Linked DNA regions of Saccharomyces cerevisiae S288C. The protein of the gene in region 1 purifies or fractionates together with the protein of each later gene. This does not show direct contact. Each region holds a gene or a part of one and is shown on either strand. Other genes may lie near its edges.

Region 1 (9,943 bases):
TTCCCGGATACATGGTGATGCACAGTTTTTTTGGGTTTTCGTTGAAGAATCTGATAAGTCGCAAATCCTTCATTTTGAAAAGTTCATCTTAAACAGAAGGCAGTTGAATAATCAGCATGAAATGGACTTCATGATCCCATTGTCAGACCCTTTGCCTCCGCAGGTTGTCGTAAAGGTTGTGTCGGATACTTGGATTGGCTGTGAATCGACCCATGCCATCTCTTTTCAACATTTAATCAGACCATTTAACGAAACTTTACAGACAAAATTGTTGAAGTTACGTCCTCTACCTACATCAGCCCTCCAGAATCCTTTAATTGAGTCAATTTATCCTTTCAAGTATTTCAATCCCATGCAAACTATGACATTTTATACACTTTACAATACCAATGAGAATGCGTTTGTTGGCTCGCCTACAGGTTCTGGTAAAACGATTGTGGCTGAATTGGCTATATGGCATGCCTTCAAAACATTTCCTGGGAAAAAGATTGTTTATATCGCACCAATGAAAGCATTAGTACGTGAAAGGGTTGATGACTGGAGAAAGAAAATAACACCAGTGACCGGAGATAAAGTTGTAGAGTTAACCGGTGATTCTTTGCCAGATCCTAAAGATGTGCATGATGCCACCATTGTTATTACAACTCCAGAAAAGTTTGATGGTATTTCCCGTAATTGGCAAACTCGTAAGTTTGTTCAAGATGTATCTTTAATTATCATGGATGAAATTCATTTGTTGGCTAGTGATCGTGGTCCTATCTTAGAAATGATTGTTAGTCGTATGAATTATATTTCCTCTCAAACCAAGCAACCGGTCAGACTGCTAGGTATGTCAACTGCTGTTTCAAACGCCTACGACATGGCTGGCTGGTTGGGAGTTAAGGACCACGGACTGTATAACTTCCCGTCAAGCGTCCGTCCGGTTCCATTGAAAATGTACATTGATGGATTTCCAGATAATTTGGCATTCTGTCCTCTGATGAAAACAATGAACAAACCTGTGTTTATGGCCATTAAACAACATTCACCTGATAAACCAGCATTAATATTTGTTGCATCGCGTAGACAAACTAGACTAACGGCTTTAGACTTGATCCACTTATGTGGAATGGAAGATAATCCACGTAGGTTTTTGAATATAGACGATGAGGAGGAACTGCAATATTACTTATCACAGGTCACTGACGACACTTTAAAGTTATCACTCCAGTTCGGTATTGGATTGCATCATGCAGGTCTAGTGCAAAAAGATCGTTCTATTTCTCATCAGTTGTTTCAAAAAAACAAAATTCAGATTCTGATCGCTACATCAACCCTAGCGTGGGGTGTCAATTTGCCAGCTCACTTGGTTATCATCAAAGGTACACAATTTTTTGATGCAAAAATTGAAGGATATAGAGATATGGATTTAACAGATATCTTGCAAATGATGGGGAGAGCTGGTAGACCGGCTTATGACACTACAGGTACTGCTATCGTTTATACAAAAGAGTCCAAAAAAATGTTTTATAAACATTTCCTAAACGTTGGTTTTCCTGTCGAGTCCTCCTTGCACAAGGTATTAGATGATCATTTAGGTGCAGAAATAACGTCAGGTAGCATAACTAATAAGCAAGAAGCGTTAGATTTTTTGAGTTGGACATTTTTGTTTCGTAGAGCGCATCATAACCCGACATATTATGGCATTGAAGATGATACAAGTACAGCAGGAGTCAGTGAACATTTGAGTTCTTTGATAGATAGCACATTAGAAAATCTGCGAGAATCACAATGTGTTTTATTACATGGAGATGATATTGTTGCTACGCCATTCTTAAGTATATCCTCATACTACTATATTTCACATTTAACGATACGCCAATTATTGAAACAGATACATGATCATGCGACTTTTCAAGAGGTATTACGATGGTTATCGTTGGCTGTTGAGTATAATGAATTGCCTGTAAGAGGTGGTGAAATTATCATGAATGAAGAAATGTCGCAGCAATCGAGGTACTCCGTTGAAAGCACTTTTACCGATGAATTCGAATTACCGATGTGGGATCCACATGTAAAAACATTTTTATTACTTCAAGCTCATTTAAGCCGTGTAGATTTACCGATTGCAGATTATATCCAGGATACCGTATCAGTTTTGGATCAATCTCTACGTATTCTACAGGCTTATATTGATGTCGCCAGTGAATTGGGTTACTTTCATACGGTATTGACCATGATAAAGATGATGCAATGCATAAAGCAAGGGTATTGGTATGAAGACGATCCTGTTAGTGTACTTCCAGGATTACAACTGAGAAGAATCAAAGATTACACTTTTAGCGAGCAGGGGTTCATTGAAATGACGCCGCAGCAAAAGAAGAAAAAGCTGTTAACCTTGGAGGAAATAGGAAGGTTTGGATATAAGAAATTATTAAATGTTTTTGATCAACTAACTTTTGGAATGACAGAAAGCGAAGATACGAAAAAACGTTTCGTCAGTGTCTGCCAAAGATTACCGGTTTTAGAAGGCATGAAATTTGAAGAACAGGAAAATAACGAGGTGTTAACATTTTATAGCAAGCACCTTTCTAGTAAGCATAATAATGGGTTTGAAGTATATTGTGATAAATTCCCTAAGATACAAAAAGAACTATGGTTTTTAATTGGACACAAAGGCGATGAACTGCTGATGATTAAAAGGTGTCAACCAAAACAAATGAATAAAGAGGTCATAATACATTGTGATCTATTTATTCCCGAAGAAATTCGTGGCGAAGAATTGCAATTTTCCCTTATTAATGACGCTTTAGGATTACGTTATGATATGGTCCATAAACTAATCTCTTAGTGAGACACAATTAAAACAACAATTATTTTGTGAAAGATAACAGTGGAAATCTATCTAGTATACATCTTCGTATATATTTTCTTACATAACGCATTTAGAATTTTTTTACTCAAAAAAGTCATCCTTTTCATCTTCTCCCACAACTTGATCCAATTCTTTTCTATCCTGTGTAGGTGATACTTGTGATCCATCCTCATGATCTTTATCAGGTGATAATGTTAATCCGATGGAATCTTCATCCAATTTCTTTCCCTTCAATATCTCTTCGAAAGATACGTTTAAGGTGTTCGCATCCATTCTTTCAGCTACTAATTTAAGAAATTGTTCTCTTCTAAGATTTGTCAATTCTACGCCCTTTGGGTCTGTAGATGGTGTATCATTCGGATATAGTGCAATATACTTTTCAGTTTTGGGAAAATTTATCACGTAACATAATTCAATTTTAGTGGCTCTCAACTTTTGTTGTAAATCTTTATCATCTGCGCCAGATTCTTTTATTTTCTTCAATAATCTGTTATATTTTCTCAATGCTTTTTTTTTTTCAAAGAATCTCACCATATGATATTTTTTAGCGTTGGCTTTAATCTTATTCTTGAGTTCATTATTCTGCAATTCCAACCGTAAAGCTTGCAAATTTCTTTCCTTTTCTATTATTACTGTGGATGGAAGTATATCTTTCTTCTTTTTTAATAACCTCTCTAAATCTCTTATTCTTCTTTTAATTTTGTTTGTTCCTGCATCCATTATCTGGGACATCTCTAGAGATGACCCAAGAGCCTTGCTTCTCTTCCTCTGTAATTTAGCCATTGATTGATTAGGTTTATTGAATGATATAAGTAAAATAACTAAGTCACGATATTTGTTTTATGTATTGTTTAATTGTAGAGATGAGATGAGTATGAAAATTTTTTTGAATGTGTTTTTCTTAGTGCTCCGGCATAGGGTACCGCAGAAATTAAAGGAATACATATTTTTGAGCTTCAAGCACTTTTTATAATCTTAGCGTACTTATCTTTATATTCATCTGCAGAGTAACCGAGAAAGCCGTGATATGTGTCTTTTCTCCTTTTTTTTTTGGCTTTCCATAACTTTTTCTTCCAGTTGAGATAAATTTATTGAAGCCTGTGAGTCTTGATTAATGACGGCAAATCCAGGTCTAGGTTTAAATCCCAACTTAGATGTTTCTAGCTCTTGCAACCAGCGGGGATCTTTTGTTATGGAGTATTCAAATCCACGTATTGTATCCAATGGCCTTTCATTTCTTGCTCTTGTAGGATTTGAAATATCAGGTGTTTTTATATTCCTACCAAATGTATCCTTCATGGATTTCAAATTTCCATCTTTATCGTAAATAACATAACCATTGCAAGTTGAGTTTTCTGTTAACGGATGTATCTTCTGTAAGTTAGAGAAAGTGGCTTCTTCAAAAGGCTGGGCTTCTTGAACAGCCTCGAGGATTGGAGCGGCCAAAGAAGAAGAGCGTAATTTAATTCTTGATGTATCATCATCCTTTTCTATCTTATCTGAACTTTCGAAATGTTGCATTTTTTGATAAACTATGATTTTAGAGCACTTCAGATATTACTTTAGGAAACTTTTGCTTTAATATTCTTAACATTATAAAATTGACGACAGCATCACACTTTTGAGTGCGTCACAAATGCATATAAATGAAAAAAGGTAACTTAGTTGAGGAAAAAATAGACACAAATTAAAATTTTGATATAATTATAGTAATAAAACTACATAAATCATATTATATTTATCAAGACAAACAGGTTACTATAGGGAAAAAGATTAAATTTTGAGTAAGAATTTGCTTTTGTAAAGGAAAAGAGCAACCAGTATGAAAAATGCATATTAGGGAACCTTTTCTGCTATTGTCCTTTATGTTTTAACCTCTGTGATTTCCAATCAGACTGGAAAAATACAAGCTTTAAATACTCGAGCACAAAGACAACAATTATTGTGTTTAATCAGTGAGTTGGGCTATATTAATGGAACTCAAATAATATGCACTTTTCATCTTACTGCAAAAGTGCACATTCACACACCACGTCCATCGTTTAAGGATATGACTCAATAAATTATCAATCTGATCACTGCCAGTGTTTAGAAACATAGTGTACATTTCTTTATTGTTACATTATACAAAACCTTTACAAAAGTTTTATTCGATCAATACATCGTTATACTGAATCTACTTTGGTGAAGCAGGGTTATCTTTACTGCTATACATTGGACAAGATTTATTTGTTCTAATGTGCCCGATTTGTCCGCATGTAGCACATCTCCTTGTAGTGTTCTTACCTTTATTCCTGGCTGCTTTCCCGTCAGTTACACCGGCAAGGTCGCTACCATTATCCACAGAGTTTTCTGTTCTCGTGGCACCACCATTTCTCTTCGAATTTTGCCTTGCTGCTCTACGTTGCTGTGATTTTTCCAAATTAGCTAATTCTAGTTGCAACAGTTTTTTCTGTTTCTCAAGTTCTTCCAAGTTATTTATCTTTGAAGTGTCCTCCTCTAACAATTTGTTAACATCTTCTTTATCCTGTTCTTTGATTTTTATATATCCTTGAATGACCCTAGGATCTCTTATGAAAATTGTCTGCCTTTGAATTATACCATTTTCATCTCTTTTCTTTCTAACAATCTTCAGAATTTTCTTATCATCTCTATCCGTCTTAACATGCTTGTTGGTCTGATTAATCTCATCAGGATTGGTCATTTCCTCAAAAGGATTGCTTATGCTCAACGATTTTGTATGTGTATACCAGGTCTTCGCAATTTCTTCGTCGTAAGCTTTTTGCTGTTGAGCCACATTGTAGCTATGCGTGTTAGTGCCTTTTTTGTTTGAACTATTGTTATTACTGGAAGGAGAACCAGACTTAACAAAACCACCTTTCATTGAAGTTTTCAAGAAAGAAAAACCTTCACCACAGCCCGTTGGGTCACCAACACCATGTATTTGTATCATAGCTCGCATTTGTGTTGAATTAATAAAATTTTTTGTAATGTTCCATGGTAACAAGTTTTCTTCTAGAGATTTTAGCTTAGAATCAAAATTATATGCTTCATTATCTTCTTGGAATTGTAAGCCCTGACTCATTGATTCAACTTGGCTGATCTGCTCTGGCGTAATTAAACTTTTCACTGCTTCATTGTCTAACAATTTTTCATCATCTTTAAGCCTCCACAGACCTTTTTCAGGACCATCTCTTTGATATTTCATGAACTCCTTCACTTTTTGTCTGTTTTGTCCATAATCTTGGTCGGGAAAGTGCTTTGCAATGGGATCAATAGAAATTGCCTTGCTGTGATTATGGTTTAGAATTCTATAAATAATCATTTTCAGTCTTGTAGCTTTCATTGATGTCACCTTTCTTGAATTAGGTCCGGGAATCTCCTCGACAGGAAAAGTTTGTCCAACCGTAAAAAGATGGTTAATATTACGTAAGTAAAATCGATTGCTTATACCAAATCCGGAACTTTTTGTCAGAAGAAAATCTGTTCCTGATATATCATGTTTGAAAACGGGTGCTCTAATCATGTTATTGTATAATGTGGGGACGATATGACCAGGTTCAACAAATCCAAAGTTCCAAAATGGTGATTTGTCTTGAACTCCCAAAACGTGAGTTTCGCCAACAGGCAATTTGGGCCTTAGAGTATCTTGTTCATTGGCTTTCCGATAATAATTAATTAATTTATTGGCCATACCAAATTTAGACAAAGCTACCGGTGTTTGTTCAGAATATTCCATTAAATAAACAGGAGCAGTATCCCCGATGGTTAGATCTTGAGATGTAGAAAATGATTCTTTGACATCTTTACCTTTATCTCTTTTCCTTTTACGCGCTTTTAACTTACTGAAGACAATTTTAGTACCTGGTCTGATGTGCGAACCAAAGTTTTCACGGTGGAAATGCCTCAACTGGTATCTAGGAACAGCCACTTTGTAAAATGGAGATTGTAAATTAATCGCAGGTTGAGAATGCTGAATATTTAAGTTCGAGATGGTAGAACGAACTTTTGTTTGATGGGTTTTTTTCAAGATTTGATATTTATCATCATTAGATAAATTGAATTTTTGTTGCAAAATAGTTTCGTTGAGGGGCAATATCAAGTTACTACTATCCAGTTGTTGCTTTTGCTGCGCTAAATTATTTGTTTTCTCAATCATCAGCAACAGTTTTTCGTCATTCATATTTAATTCAGCATGTTTAGACTCTTTCAATTTTGCATCAATGATCATGTCTTCATCCCACTGCCAATCTTCAGCAACATCCTCAATCAAGCTCTTCAATTTATAACCGCCGGAGAACTTTAAGTTGGGTGTCATAGACGAATCCGCCAAGGTTGCTGTTGATGAAGTACCTTGGTTGATGATTTTTTCTTGGTCCCAATCATCAGTGGCAATAAGCAAGTCTTCCGATATGGTCTTTTCATCATGAATAATCTTTCTTTTTTTTTGTTGCTCTTTGATAGGGAAAAGTTCATCAATGGAAACATGAATTAAACCTCTTCGGGATGCAGAAGAGTTACTTTGAAGTAAATTGTTTTTCCCTTGATAAATCGGAGCGACGTAAGATATTGTCCTTGAGTTGAATAGCCTCTTATCATCCTGTTGAACCTTGAATTTCAAATTTAAAGGCATAAACGGTTTCTTTACCCTAGATATTTCACTGTGCCAATGATAAGGAACAGATCTTCTATAAATCAGCTTGTTCCATTTTAAAATTTTACCCTTTTCAAAATCAGGAAAGTATTTTTTTAGAAGATACTTCTCATGGTTTATCAAGTCTAATTTGGTGGCTTTCTTATGCTTGCCATCTGACATATCTGGTTCCATGATAAATCCACCATTTATCGACATATCATTTCCATTAACGCCACCAATGGAAAGTTGAGAATGCCCAATTTCATTTGCGCCACTACCATCAAGAACTCCAGTTTCAGTGGCGAGATGAATTTCATTTGCATCCATTCCCATAAACAAAGCATTGCTAGTTGCGGGAGTACCCCCATCATCCTCCAAAATAAACTGTTGAGACAAATCACCATTAATTTCAGGCAGTTGCATATTCAAACTATTTGAGTCGATACCGAGTACGGCACCGTTCTCGTTTACATCATCATACGCGCCCATAGTCATCATAGCTGGATGCAAATTAGCATCAGATTCTTCTGGCAAATCGTCATCGTCATCAGCAAGTTCATCTTCATCTTCAAAATCTACAGCATCCGGCAAATGCTCCGTATAGTCCTTTGAATTGGCACCTTCATCCCCGCCAATGTATGACCCGATTTCTAAAGAGCCAAACTCTCCGCCAAAAATAGCTTCATATGCTTCATCTTCGTTGGCCAAGTTGGTCTTGCCGGATCCCTGCTGCTTTACCATATCGCCTTATACTCCTGTTGTACTTCTTTTTCTCTCTGTGTTTAAAATGCTATTTATTCTCTTAAAAGCACATTTGAAAACCATCGCCGCGAAATGAAATTATCGACTAGTTTATTAATGAACAAGGCGATAAAACCTAATGTTGGAAAGAAAGAGCTACGTCAGCAAGAGATAGAGAAAATGGACCCACAGACGCTCATTACTAAGGCCAATAAGGTTTCTTACTATGGCAACCCTACGAGTAAGGAATCATGGAGGTATGATTGGTACCAACCATCTAAGGTGAGCTCCAATGTGCAGCAACCACAACAACAGCTAGGGGACATGGAGAATAACTTGGAGAAATATCCATTCAGGTATAAAACATGGTTGAGGAACCAGGAAGATGAGAAAAATCTACAGAGGGAGAGCTGTGAGGATATATTAGATTTGAAAGAATTTGATAGAAGAATACTGAAAAAGTCGTTGATGACATCGCACACTAAGGGTGATACAAGTAAGGCCACCGGTGCTCCTTCTGCTAATCAAGGAGATGAAGCTCTTAGTGTGGATGATATAAGAGGCGCTGTCGGTAATAGTGAAGCCATTCCTGGGTTATCTGCGGGAGTGAACAATGATAATACAAAGGAGAGTAAAGATGTGAAAATGAATTAAAAGGAAAAGTATTATGCATATATATATATATATATATATATATATATTTATATATTTATACACATAGAATTATTTTACAGTAAAGGATGCTACACCACCCCGGGCTAACTTTATGGCTTCTACTATTTCAGGTTCCCTTTCGCGTCTTTTATCTAATCTTTCCTTTTTGTCTTGAATAAACTCTAACTCAGTTGAAAGATTGTTCCATGGTCTTGTGTCGCCTGTACCCGACATGATCAAAATCATAGTACCTGGTGTAGCATTCTCGTATAATTGTGTTAGATGTTGCCCTATATCATGAAGAACCATGGACGCATCGAACGAAGGAGTTTCCTTCCGTGGCTTTTTATTATAGTTGCGTGACCTCTCTAAGTTCTTGATTCTCCCCACAATAAGTTTGACATCTTTATTTAGATTCTCGTGAATATGGGTCCATGTCTCATCATCTTCGACGCAACGGATTAACTGGCCCTTAGAATCGTCCTCAGTATGATTTTTAATAATCATATCGTTGAGAAGAACGGTTTTCACTTCAAAACGATGTAATTTGGTGAACAAGTTCTCCGTATTGATACCTATCCCAAATGCTAACCCATTTAAGATTTTTAATTTCGTCAATTCAAGACAAGCCCTTGCATCTTCGACAGAATCGTGTTCTCCGTTTTGAATGCTTTTATTCAGAAAGGTTTCGCTCAAGTATTTTAAACTTGGCTTGAAAGGATCGCCAGCTTTATGATGGTATATAATAGCTGTATCCACGACCAATGGATGTTTCAATTTCATGACTTTCAAATCATTCTGTAGCGAATGTCCTATCAAAATATCTGAACGACTTATTATCTTTAGTAAATCTTTTTGTACTTCTCGCAATGTTTTCTTGGCACCAACAGTTAGTTTCTCTTCAGTTATACCACTGTAACGTGTCAAATAGTCCACTATGGGGACATCAGGTTTCACCAACTCTTCATAGATAACTTCATTGTCAAAATTCACTAGAGAAATCCTAGTTAGAACTAAACCTTGTTCGGAAAGACACATTTCACAGTCTAGTGCAAAGA
Region 2 (4,279 bases), on another chromosome or scaffold:
TGCTTCTGACGGTGGTTTGTACGTTCCTCACTCCGAAAACAGATTCCCAGGTTGGGACTTCGAAACCGAAGAAATTGACCCAGAATTATTGAGATCTTACATCTTTGGTGGCCACGTTTCCCAATACATGGAAGAATTAGCTGACGATGATGAAGAAAGATTCTCTGAATTATTCAAGGGTTACCTAGCTGACGACATTGATGCTGACTCTTTGGAAGACATCTACACTTCTGCTCACGAAGCTATCAGAGCTGACCCAGCTTTCAAGCCAACTGAAAAGAAATTCACCAAGGAACAATACGCTGCTGAATCCAAGAAGTACAGACAAACCAAATTGTCCAAGGAAGAAAGAGCTGCTCGTGTTGCTGCCAAGATCGCTGCTTTGGCTGGTCAACAATAAATTATGGATATATAACGTCATTTTGAGATATTTTAAATAAAGCTATCTTCACATAACCTTTGTATTCATTTTTAGTTAACTCATTTACATCATCCACTTACTACATTTGTATTTTTTTTACGATTTGCGTACCGCCTCATTACTACCCTTTTTTTGCACTGCAGTAATAGTACACTCAAATCATGATGAAAAGAGAAAAGAAAAAAATGCCACAAAAAGTAGTTGATTTTATAAAAGTTATCATCCAATTTTAGGTAATTTTATTCTCTTTATGTAACGAACATATGAAGATTTCTTCTCTAGAATGGCATTCTAACTAAGTCCGTGCCATAAAATCATCACTAACAAATATAAGATCACGCTATACTATCAATGAAGAAACAAATATTAATAGTTGCTGCACAAAGTATTTTATGTTCTACTGTTTTTGGCGAGCGAAGTAATGTAGGCCTTTCCACTGAAGAGCTAGGAGGTGACTCAATTTTATACTTCAATGAAGACCCTATAGTGATTGAAATCGATAAGAAAGCTATTGACAAGAAGACTTTGGAACAGTTGGCAAGCACAAGAGATGTTGTTCTTACTGATTTACCGGACACTCTTGAGTTTATAGACTTCAACGAGTACGCGAAAATGAAGTCAAAATCAGATATGCTACTAGAGTATATCAACGAATACGAATTTGATGATTTTGAAAGAAGTTCTGAAGGCGGTCTTGAAGAAGAAGAAGAAGAGGATTTAATTTATGACTTCAATGCCCAAGCTGAAGATTTGGGTAAGCTTGGTTCAAATATATATGAAGTAGTCGAAGAAAAGAATATTGTTAATACTTACGATGGAAACCTTATCAATGCAAGTACAACTGAATCAACGACTACTATTCGGCCTTTCGTGACTTCTCACTCCTACGTTGCTTCTTCTACACCTTATTCGAATATTTCATCATTGAATGAGGACTACGATAATGCGAGCAACTTTTTGACTCCTACAACAGTGGCTCTTGCGGTACTTTTAACCATTTTATTATTTATACAGGCGTATTAATAGATCATTATTTTATTTAAATAAGAAATATTGTTGGCTAGCTTTCCTGTTTTATTTACTGTCACTTTTTAAAATCACTCAAGACGAGAAAGCTCTTTAGCAAAGTACTGACAAAAAACTTGAAGTTTGAACTTGTTACAGTATTACACGTCAAGGCTGTAGTGCGGTGAAAAAAAAAGAATATACCGTAATTTTTCTCCTTCGTGACCTCGGAGCTGACTGATATTAGATAACTAATCATGGTAGCTGTATGTTCGTTAATCTCTTTTAGCCACCCACCCATATGCTTTTTGTTTTGTTAGCTAAAATAATACTAACTTACGACTCTATTCTCATCATTAAATAACCAACAGACAGTAAAAAGAACCATCCGTATAAAAACCCAACAACACATTCTGCCAGAAGTGCCACCAGTAGAGAATTTTCCTGTTCGTCAATGGAGTATAGAAATTGTATTATTGGATGATGAAGGAAAAGAAATTCCCGCTACAATTTTTGACAAAGTTATTTACCACTTGCACCCAACTTTCGCCAATCCTAACAGGACATTTACTGACCCACCATTTAGAATTGAGGAACAAGGTTGGGGTGGATTTCCTTTAGATATAAGCGTTTTCTTGTTGGAAAAAGCAGGTGAGCGGAAAATACCACACGATTTGAACTTTCTACAAGAGAGTTATGAAGTGGAGCACGTTATCCAGATTCCTCTCAATAAACCACTTTTAACAGAAGAACTTGCGAAAAGTGGATCTACTGAAGAAACGACGGCCAATACAGGCACCATTGGGAAAAGAAGGACTACCACGAACACAACTGCAGAACCAAAGGCGAAGAGAGCTAAGACGGGCAGTGCATCTACCGTGAAAGGGAGCGTGGACCTAGAAAAATTAGCGTTCGGATTGACTAAACTAAATGAAGATGACCTGGTTGGTGTTGTTCAAATGGTTACCGACAATAAAACACCAGAAATGAACGTGACGAATAATGTTGAAGAGGGTGAATTTATAATTGACTTGTATAGTTTACCTGAGGGATTATTGAAAAGTCTATGGGACTACGTTAAGAAAAATACCGAGTAATAAAAGGTAAAAGGGCGTTAAATGCGCGCTTTTATGTTTGTATAAATAAAACACGTTGATATTTTGTCTTATATAAACTTTATTCCAATAACCGCGACACCTTACCAAACACATATTATTACAACACATTTTTATCTTGGATTTTAAGTAATTATACAACAGTTTTCATTTTAGAAAATGAGAACATCAAATATATACATTCCAATGTAATAGAAAATGGAAAAGAAAAAAGAATAAAAAGAAAAACACGAGGGGACCAGGTTGCTAGAAGATAGGGTGACCACGTCAAAAGAATATACCTAGGGAACCAAACAATGCGAAGTTAACAACCCATCAAAGTATTTTTAATAGTGAGTGGTTCAATAGAAAATTAGAAGTCTGTTCATTTAAGCGCGCTACATCCCATCTTCTAAATGAGGATCAAAACCTGTATTGTCCGATGTACTATTGCCAAAAAGTCCGTTAGATGGCATATTATCACTATTTTGCCCATGTGAATCCTCTTGATGAGTTTGAGTGTCTTCAGTAGCAGATGCAGCTGATGAAGGATGCTGAGATAAATTTTGTTCCATAATAGTTGACGAATTTGGAGATTGAGAGAATTTTTTCTTTGCCTTGTAGATTTTCTCCAAGTTACCGGTCACTTTTATCAAATAGTCAGGCAATGGTTTGCCACTCTTCAAGTATTGTAATTTCCAATTACGGGCTTTATCTTTCAGTTGTACCTGCGTCCTGTTCTTCAAATTTTCCGTGATTTTACCACCGGGACCATATAAATCTAGAATCTTAGACCACGATGGGCCAACCTCTTTCAGGCCTTCCACTAATGCTTCTTCTTCCTCTTTGGACCAAGTTCTTTTCGCCTTTGGTTTTCTTAATCCGATACTACCATTATTGTTGCTGTTACTGCTGTTGTTATGAGAGGAATGAGGACCAGAGCTGCTGTTGCTCATCGAGGCCGCAACAGCGGCATCCACAATGGATTGTGTGATAGCGGGGTTTTTGGAAGACACATCTGTGGTAGGTGTATGTGTGCTGTAATGATTCGGACGAGCAGTTGACAAAAAAGCAGACGCACTGCTTGGCTGATTTTGGTCGTCCATGAATTCTACGGTCCTGGTCCCTGTAGAAAAGAGTACTTGAGGATCAAACTCGTTGACATCAAAGTCATATAATGGTGATTTTCCGCGACCCTTTCTGCCCCATATGATGAGACCCATATTTTTATTACAATAATCCAGCAACTCTCTGATAAATTGAGCCCATTCGTAGCTCTGGGTCAGAGAGTTAAAATCTTGGACGATCTTTAAATTTTCTCTCCGACGATCGCACCTTTCGACGAAGTCCTTCTCCGATGGAGTCAAAAGTGTAATGTCTCCAGAATCGCCGGTTCTTCTCTGCACGAGAATATCAGCCAGATTGGATGGGAAGATTAAGTCTAGTAGCTCTTGTTTCTTTTCTAAAGAAATTTCGTTCGTCTCGTCCTGAAACTCTTTCAAGCCGGCAATGTAAGCCTGTGTTTTCAGATCAAGATATAGGATAGCCTGCGATTTCAAAAACTTTCCGCTTTGTTCCAGGGAGTTGTTACCGACAGTGTTTGTATTTGGACAGAAAATATCGAGAAATATCGACTGTAGCAGCTCAAACCCGTAATTAAGGCAGTTCAGCGACGTCAATAGAAATGTTAGCAGATTCGCCTTTCTTATGGCAGTAATAATAAACGCTTCGTGGCCTCTCAATATAAGGGGGGGAGGGG
Region 3 (4,308 bases), on another chromosome or scaffold:
GTTTGACCTCTTCATGGTTATCTCCGCCACCATCACGGTCGTTTAAGGACAGATTCTCCATAGTGGCGTCTTCATGGTCCTGTTCGTATTGATCTTTCAAACTTTGAAAGTCTTTCTCGTTTTCTAAGATCGCTTTTATTCCAATAATGTCAATGTCATTAAACACTTCCAAAAGTTTCTCAGCCTCTTCAATTGGTATATCTTCAAAGACTTTATTAATATTATCCAAATTTTTGGTCATTATGGCTTCTTGCATTTTTTCCGGTATTAAAGTTTTGAAAACTTTAACCTTTTTCATCTCTTCTGGATCTTTAGAATTGAAGTCTGGCAAGTTTACTTCTAATTCTGTAGAATCATCTAGAGATTTCAATTGAATCGTCTCTACTCCTTCAGCATTCGATTCATCCATTTCCTCTTGTTGTAAAATTTTGGAACGTTTTTGAATGTGCAAAAATTTTTCTTGAACTGATCTCAAAAAAGACTCTTTACCCATTGGCTTGTCCTTGTTGAAGATAACCTTCTCGAAAAACATATTAATGACATTTGATAGTTCCATTGGATTTAAATATGGAATTTTCTTCATGTCGTAGATTTCCTTAATGTAGGCCATCAATTCGGATTGATGAATGACTTGCAAAGTCATCTTATCGTCACCATGTAACTGATACTCAAAGGCCTTCATCATTAAGGCGTCCTTTTGTTGTTCTGAAATAATAGGTAAGTGCTCCAGTAAGAATTTCTGAGATTTTGAGTACTCATTAATGGATATTTTACCGAATTCTTCAGTTTCCTTGGCCAGTTTCATAGGATCATCTTTAAAATCGATGAAAGTTTGCGGAACTGATGATTTTGCTAGTTTATTAAGAATATTAGACTCTGCAGCGCTCGAAAGAGCTTCTGAAGGAGTTGCTTCCAGTGGCTTAGCCCCCCCCTTTTGCTTGTTCATAAAGCTACTATCAAAGCCTGTATGAATGTCTTCAGATGAAATGTGTGCATTTTTCTCCTTGTATAATTCATCTAATTTCTTCTTAGCCTCTACAGTTACTGAATCGATCTTAGCCCTATGTTTCAAAATAGCATCCCTTATGAGAGATGGGCTCTTCGAGTCTTTGCCCTCTTTGTCTAAATCTTTTGCTAATTGTTCAAAAAGATCTTCAACCATTTCATTGTATGTTGCAATCTCAGGATCAACATTTTCCCCTTTACTTTTCTCCATCTTATCAAAATTTGCATTCAAGAATTTGGTAACGGCTGGCAAATCAGTAAGAGAACTTTCAGGTAAATTACTCAAAATTCTGTCCACTCGTTTGTTCAAATGAGAATACATATCCACTTGTGTCTCCAAATTTTTGATATCTTGGTTCCTTTTGAATCGCTGTTCATGGATACTCTGTTGTTTCCATTTAATGAACGATTTCTTGTCCACATTAGGATGCACCTCGACATCAGAATCATCTGATAGTTCAATTTTATCCCACTTAGAGTAATCAATGGCCATTTTTGACTTATGTAGTTGTTCCGTAGTACGATAGCTCGATAGTTTTTTTATCGTGATGAAGTGTTGGTGCAACGGAGGTGTTCTCTTATGTGGCAATCTTTCATGATCCTTCAGTAAAAAATCGTGAAAAACGGATGTTCAAAAAGCGTGTCAAATTTGCGTGAATAAGTGCTCTAATCAATCTAATAACGAATCGTGTATTTAAAAGAGTTGCATACTGCTACACTATATACATATTTCATTTCCATTTGTTAGCCACTAACGATAAAAGTCTGGGCGACCTATATTGAGCCCGTATTCAGCAACAGCGCTACTGAGATCGTTCACCGTCAGAACAACTTTGCTTGCTGTAGTCTTCTCATTCTGTTGATGTTGTTGTTGTGAAATCTGCTGCACGCCAGGCTGTTGCTGTCCTTGCAATAGCTGCCTAGCTCTCGCCTGACTGTTGTTAGCATTAGATACCGCTACGGAAGACCTGATCCTGGAATATTCGTAGGCATCCTTAGCTATATCACTAACAAATTTCTGAGTAGCAAGTGCTAAAAGTCGTTTCACTCGTACATCTGCTACGTTAAACCCGTTTTTGGTTAAATAGTAGTCTATTACTGCATCGGGAATGATAGGAGGAGTACTGTCCATCATCTCTAGAATCTCCTCCAGAGTCTTATCTTTTCTTGTAAATTCGGGTATACCAAATGCATTTTCACTCCCATCATCCACTACAGCCTCTCTCTTTTGCTTCTTCTTCATGTTTTCTGCGACAGAGTCATCATTATCATTGTCCCCATCATCGGCTCCCGCAACCGATGGAAAAGGTGTTTCTAATTGTCCTTCTTGATTATCATCAAACTCCGCATCGTAATCTTCCTCAAAATCCATAGTTTCAGTTATTCTTTCCTCTGTTCTTCGCTGCCAGTTCTTTTTAGCTTAGGCATGAATGCTGAATCTGCAGCTTCTTTAATTTTTCGTTTCTGTTTTCAACTTGAAAAAACAAAAGTATCAACTCCTACTATTCAACTAAAGTAACAAAAATAAGCTGCGTTAAAGCTGCTAAACTAGGAAAGAAGTTTCTGTTGAAATAAAGTAGCGAAAAAAAGTTTGGTACCATGGATAGGTTTCAAATTGGCGACGAGCAACTACTTCGTTTTTATCAGTTGAAGACTATTAATCCGACCCATTCCTGGGCCCAAGATTCCTCAAAATTGAATAATGAAGAGGCTACAAGCAATGAACTTGGCGTTGAAACGTCATTCGACATATTAAAAGACTTCAAATATGGCAATCAAATTAGCATTGACAAGGAATCGAGAGCATATTTAAACGATGAGTCGTTAAGTTATATTAGAGATCCCTTGAATGGACAAGAAATGTCTAAAGAATTGCAACATCTACCAAATGATTCAATGCGGTTGAACTATCTTGTCAACAGTAAACAATTCAACGTCAAAGCCTTTCTGAGAGATATGCACAAACAAGACTCTTTCAATGATCTAAATAACTCACTGGACAGGTTGGACAGTGATATACAAGACCAATCTATACATTTGAAACAATTGGTTGGTAAAAATTTCACCAAGTATGTTAAGATTAAAAACAAGTTAGACCAAATTTACAAAGAATTTGACGAGAAAACGAATGAAAAAAACCAATGTGATTCACCAAAAGAAAATCAAATAAATGTGGAAAGCTTAAATAAAAAGGTCGACGAGGTTATTAGAACAACAACTTTCAAACTGAAACCGCTAATGGATAACTATCAGAAAATTTTGAATTACCAGGCCACCAAAAAATTTATTGAATTGAATAAGTTTTACTTCAACCTACCCAAATCTTTAAAGAGATGTTTGACTAACAACGATTTCAATGAGTTCATTATCGAATATTCAAAAGGTCTTACGCTCCGTCGCCGTTTCAACCAGAGTTCAGATGCTTCACAATCTCTTGTTATAAAAAGAATTTGGACTCAAATAGAAAATTTATTAGTCACGTATAAAGATCTGATTTGGAACAGTTTAATAAATTCAAATTTTAACATTGACCAACCCCAAGAAACAATTTTGTCCCTCTTTTCAAAATTGTTGAACTTAGAAAACTTTATCAATAATAATCAAAGAGAAAGTGAAAGTGGTAACAAGAACACAACTTCATCATCCAATGAAAATCCAATCCTAAGATGGATGTCCATCAAAATGAATGGCTTTCAGAATGAACTGAACGAGTTGTCTGGCCATATGATTAGTAAAATCATTCATTCTCAAAGGCTTATATTACAAAACAATACTAATCAAGATAAAAGTCAAGGGTGCGTGGAGCTGTCGTATTATTTGAAAATCAATCAATTATTCCAAATAATAAGTGATACGGGCAAGGATAGTGAAGGTTTGAAAAGTACCGTTGAACCCAATAAAGTTAACACCATTTCTGGAACCAGCTATCTAAATTTGAATTGCCAACCCAGCTCTCAAGGACTAACTGATTCCCCAACTATCATTGAAATGTGGCTATTAATCTTAAAATATATTAACGACCTGTGGAAAATTTGTGATCAATTTATAGAATTCTGGGAACACATTGAAAAGTTCCTCGATGGGACTTACCAAAATTCCATTATAAATGAAAAAAGAAAAGAAAACATTTTGATCGGTGATTCTAATATTATTGAATCATACCAAAAAAGCTTGATCTTGAAGGAAGAACAGATTAACGAGGTTAGGTTAAAGGGCGAGGAATTCATCACTTCAGTCTCACAAAATTTAATATCATTTTTCACATCTTCTCAATCATCTCTACCATCATCATTGAAGGATTCT

The links. The genes of interacting proteins can lie anywhere in the genome.
Region 2: the proteins of TAF1 (region 1) and TAF14 purify together in Saccharomyces cerevisiae (affinity purification with western blotting; 12 studies listed by BioGRID, with this or other methods). This does not show direct contact.
Region 3: the proteins of TAF1 (region 1) and TAF10 purify together in Saccharomyces cerevisiae (affinity purification with western blotting; 15 studies listed by BioGRID, with this or other methods). This does not show direct contact.

The regions. Positions count from the first base shown.
Region 1 is NC_001139.9:1,034,865-1,044,807, forward strand, and holds TAF1 (histone acetyltransferase), read right to left. Parts: upstream 8,232-9,943; coding exon 5,031-8,231; downstream 1-5,030. Other genes in the region: SLH1 (RNA helicase), read left to right, coding at 1-2,830; EFG1 (Efg1p), read right to left, coding at 2,936-3,637; YGR273C (uncharacterized protein), read right to left, coding at 3,851-4,375; RTT102 (Rtt102p), read left to right, coding at 8,412-8,885; RNH70 (Rnh70p), read right to left, coding at 8,955-9,943. UniProt on the Saccharomyces cerevisiae protein: Functions as a component of the DNA-binding general transcription factor complex TFIID. Binding of TFIID to a promoter (with or without TATA element) is the initial step in pre-initiation complex (PIC) formation.
Region 2 is NC_001148.4:303,615-307,893, forward strand, and holds TAF14 (TATA-binding protein-associated factor TAF14), read left to right. Parts: upstream 1-1,683; coding exon 1,684-1,692; intron 1,693-1,797; coding exon 1,798-2,523; downstream 2,524-4,279. Other genes in the region: 60S ribosomal protein uL18 RPL5, read left to right, coding at 1-400; SPO19 (Spo19p), read left to right, coding at 773-1,444; TBF1 (Tbf1p), read right to left, coding at 2,919-4,279. UniProt on the Saccharomyces cerevisiae protein: Functions as a component of the DNA-binding general transcription factor complex TFIID, the RNA polymerase II associated general transcription factor complex TFIIF, and the chromatin-remodeling complex SWI/SNF.
Region 3 is NC_001136.10:787,518-791,825, reverse strand, and holds TAF10 (Taf10p), read right to left. Parts: upstream 2,378-4,308; coding exon 1,757-2,377; downstream 1-1,756. Other genes in the region: Hsp90 co-chaperone CDC37, read right to left, coding at 1-1,498; exocyst subunit SEC5, read left to right, coding at 2,605-4,308.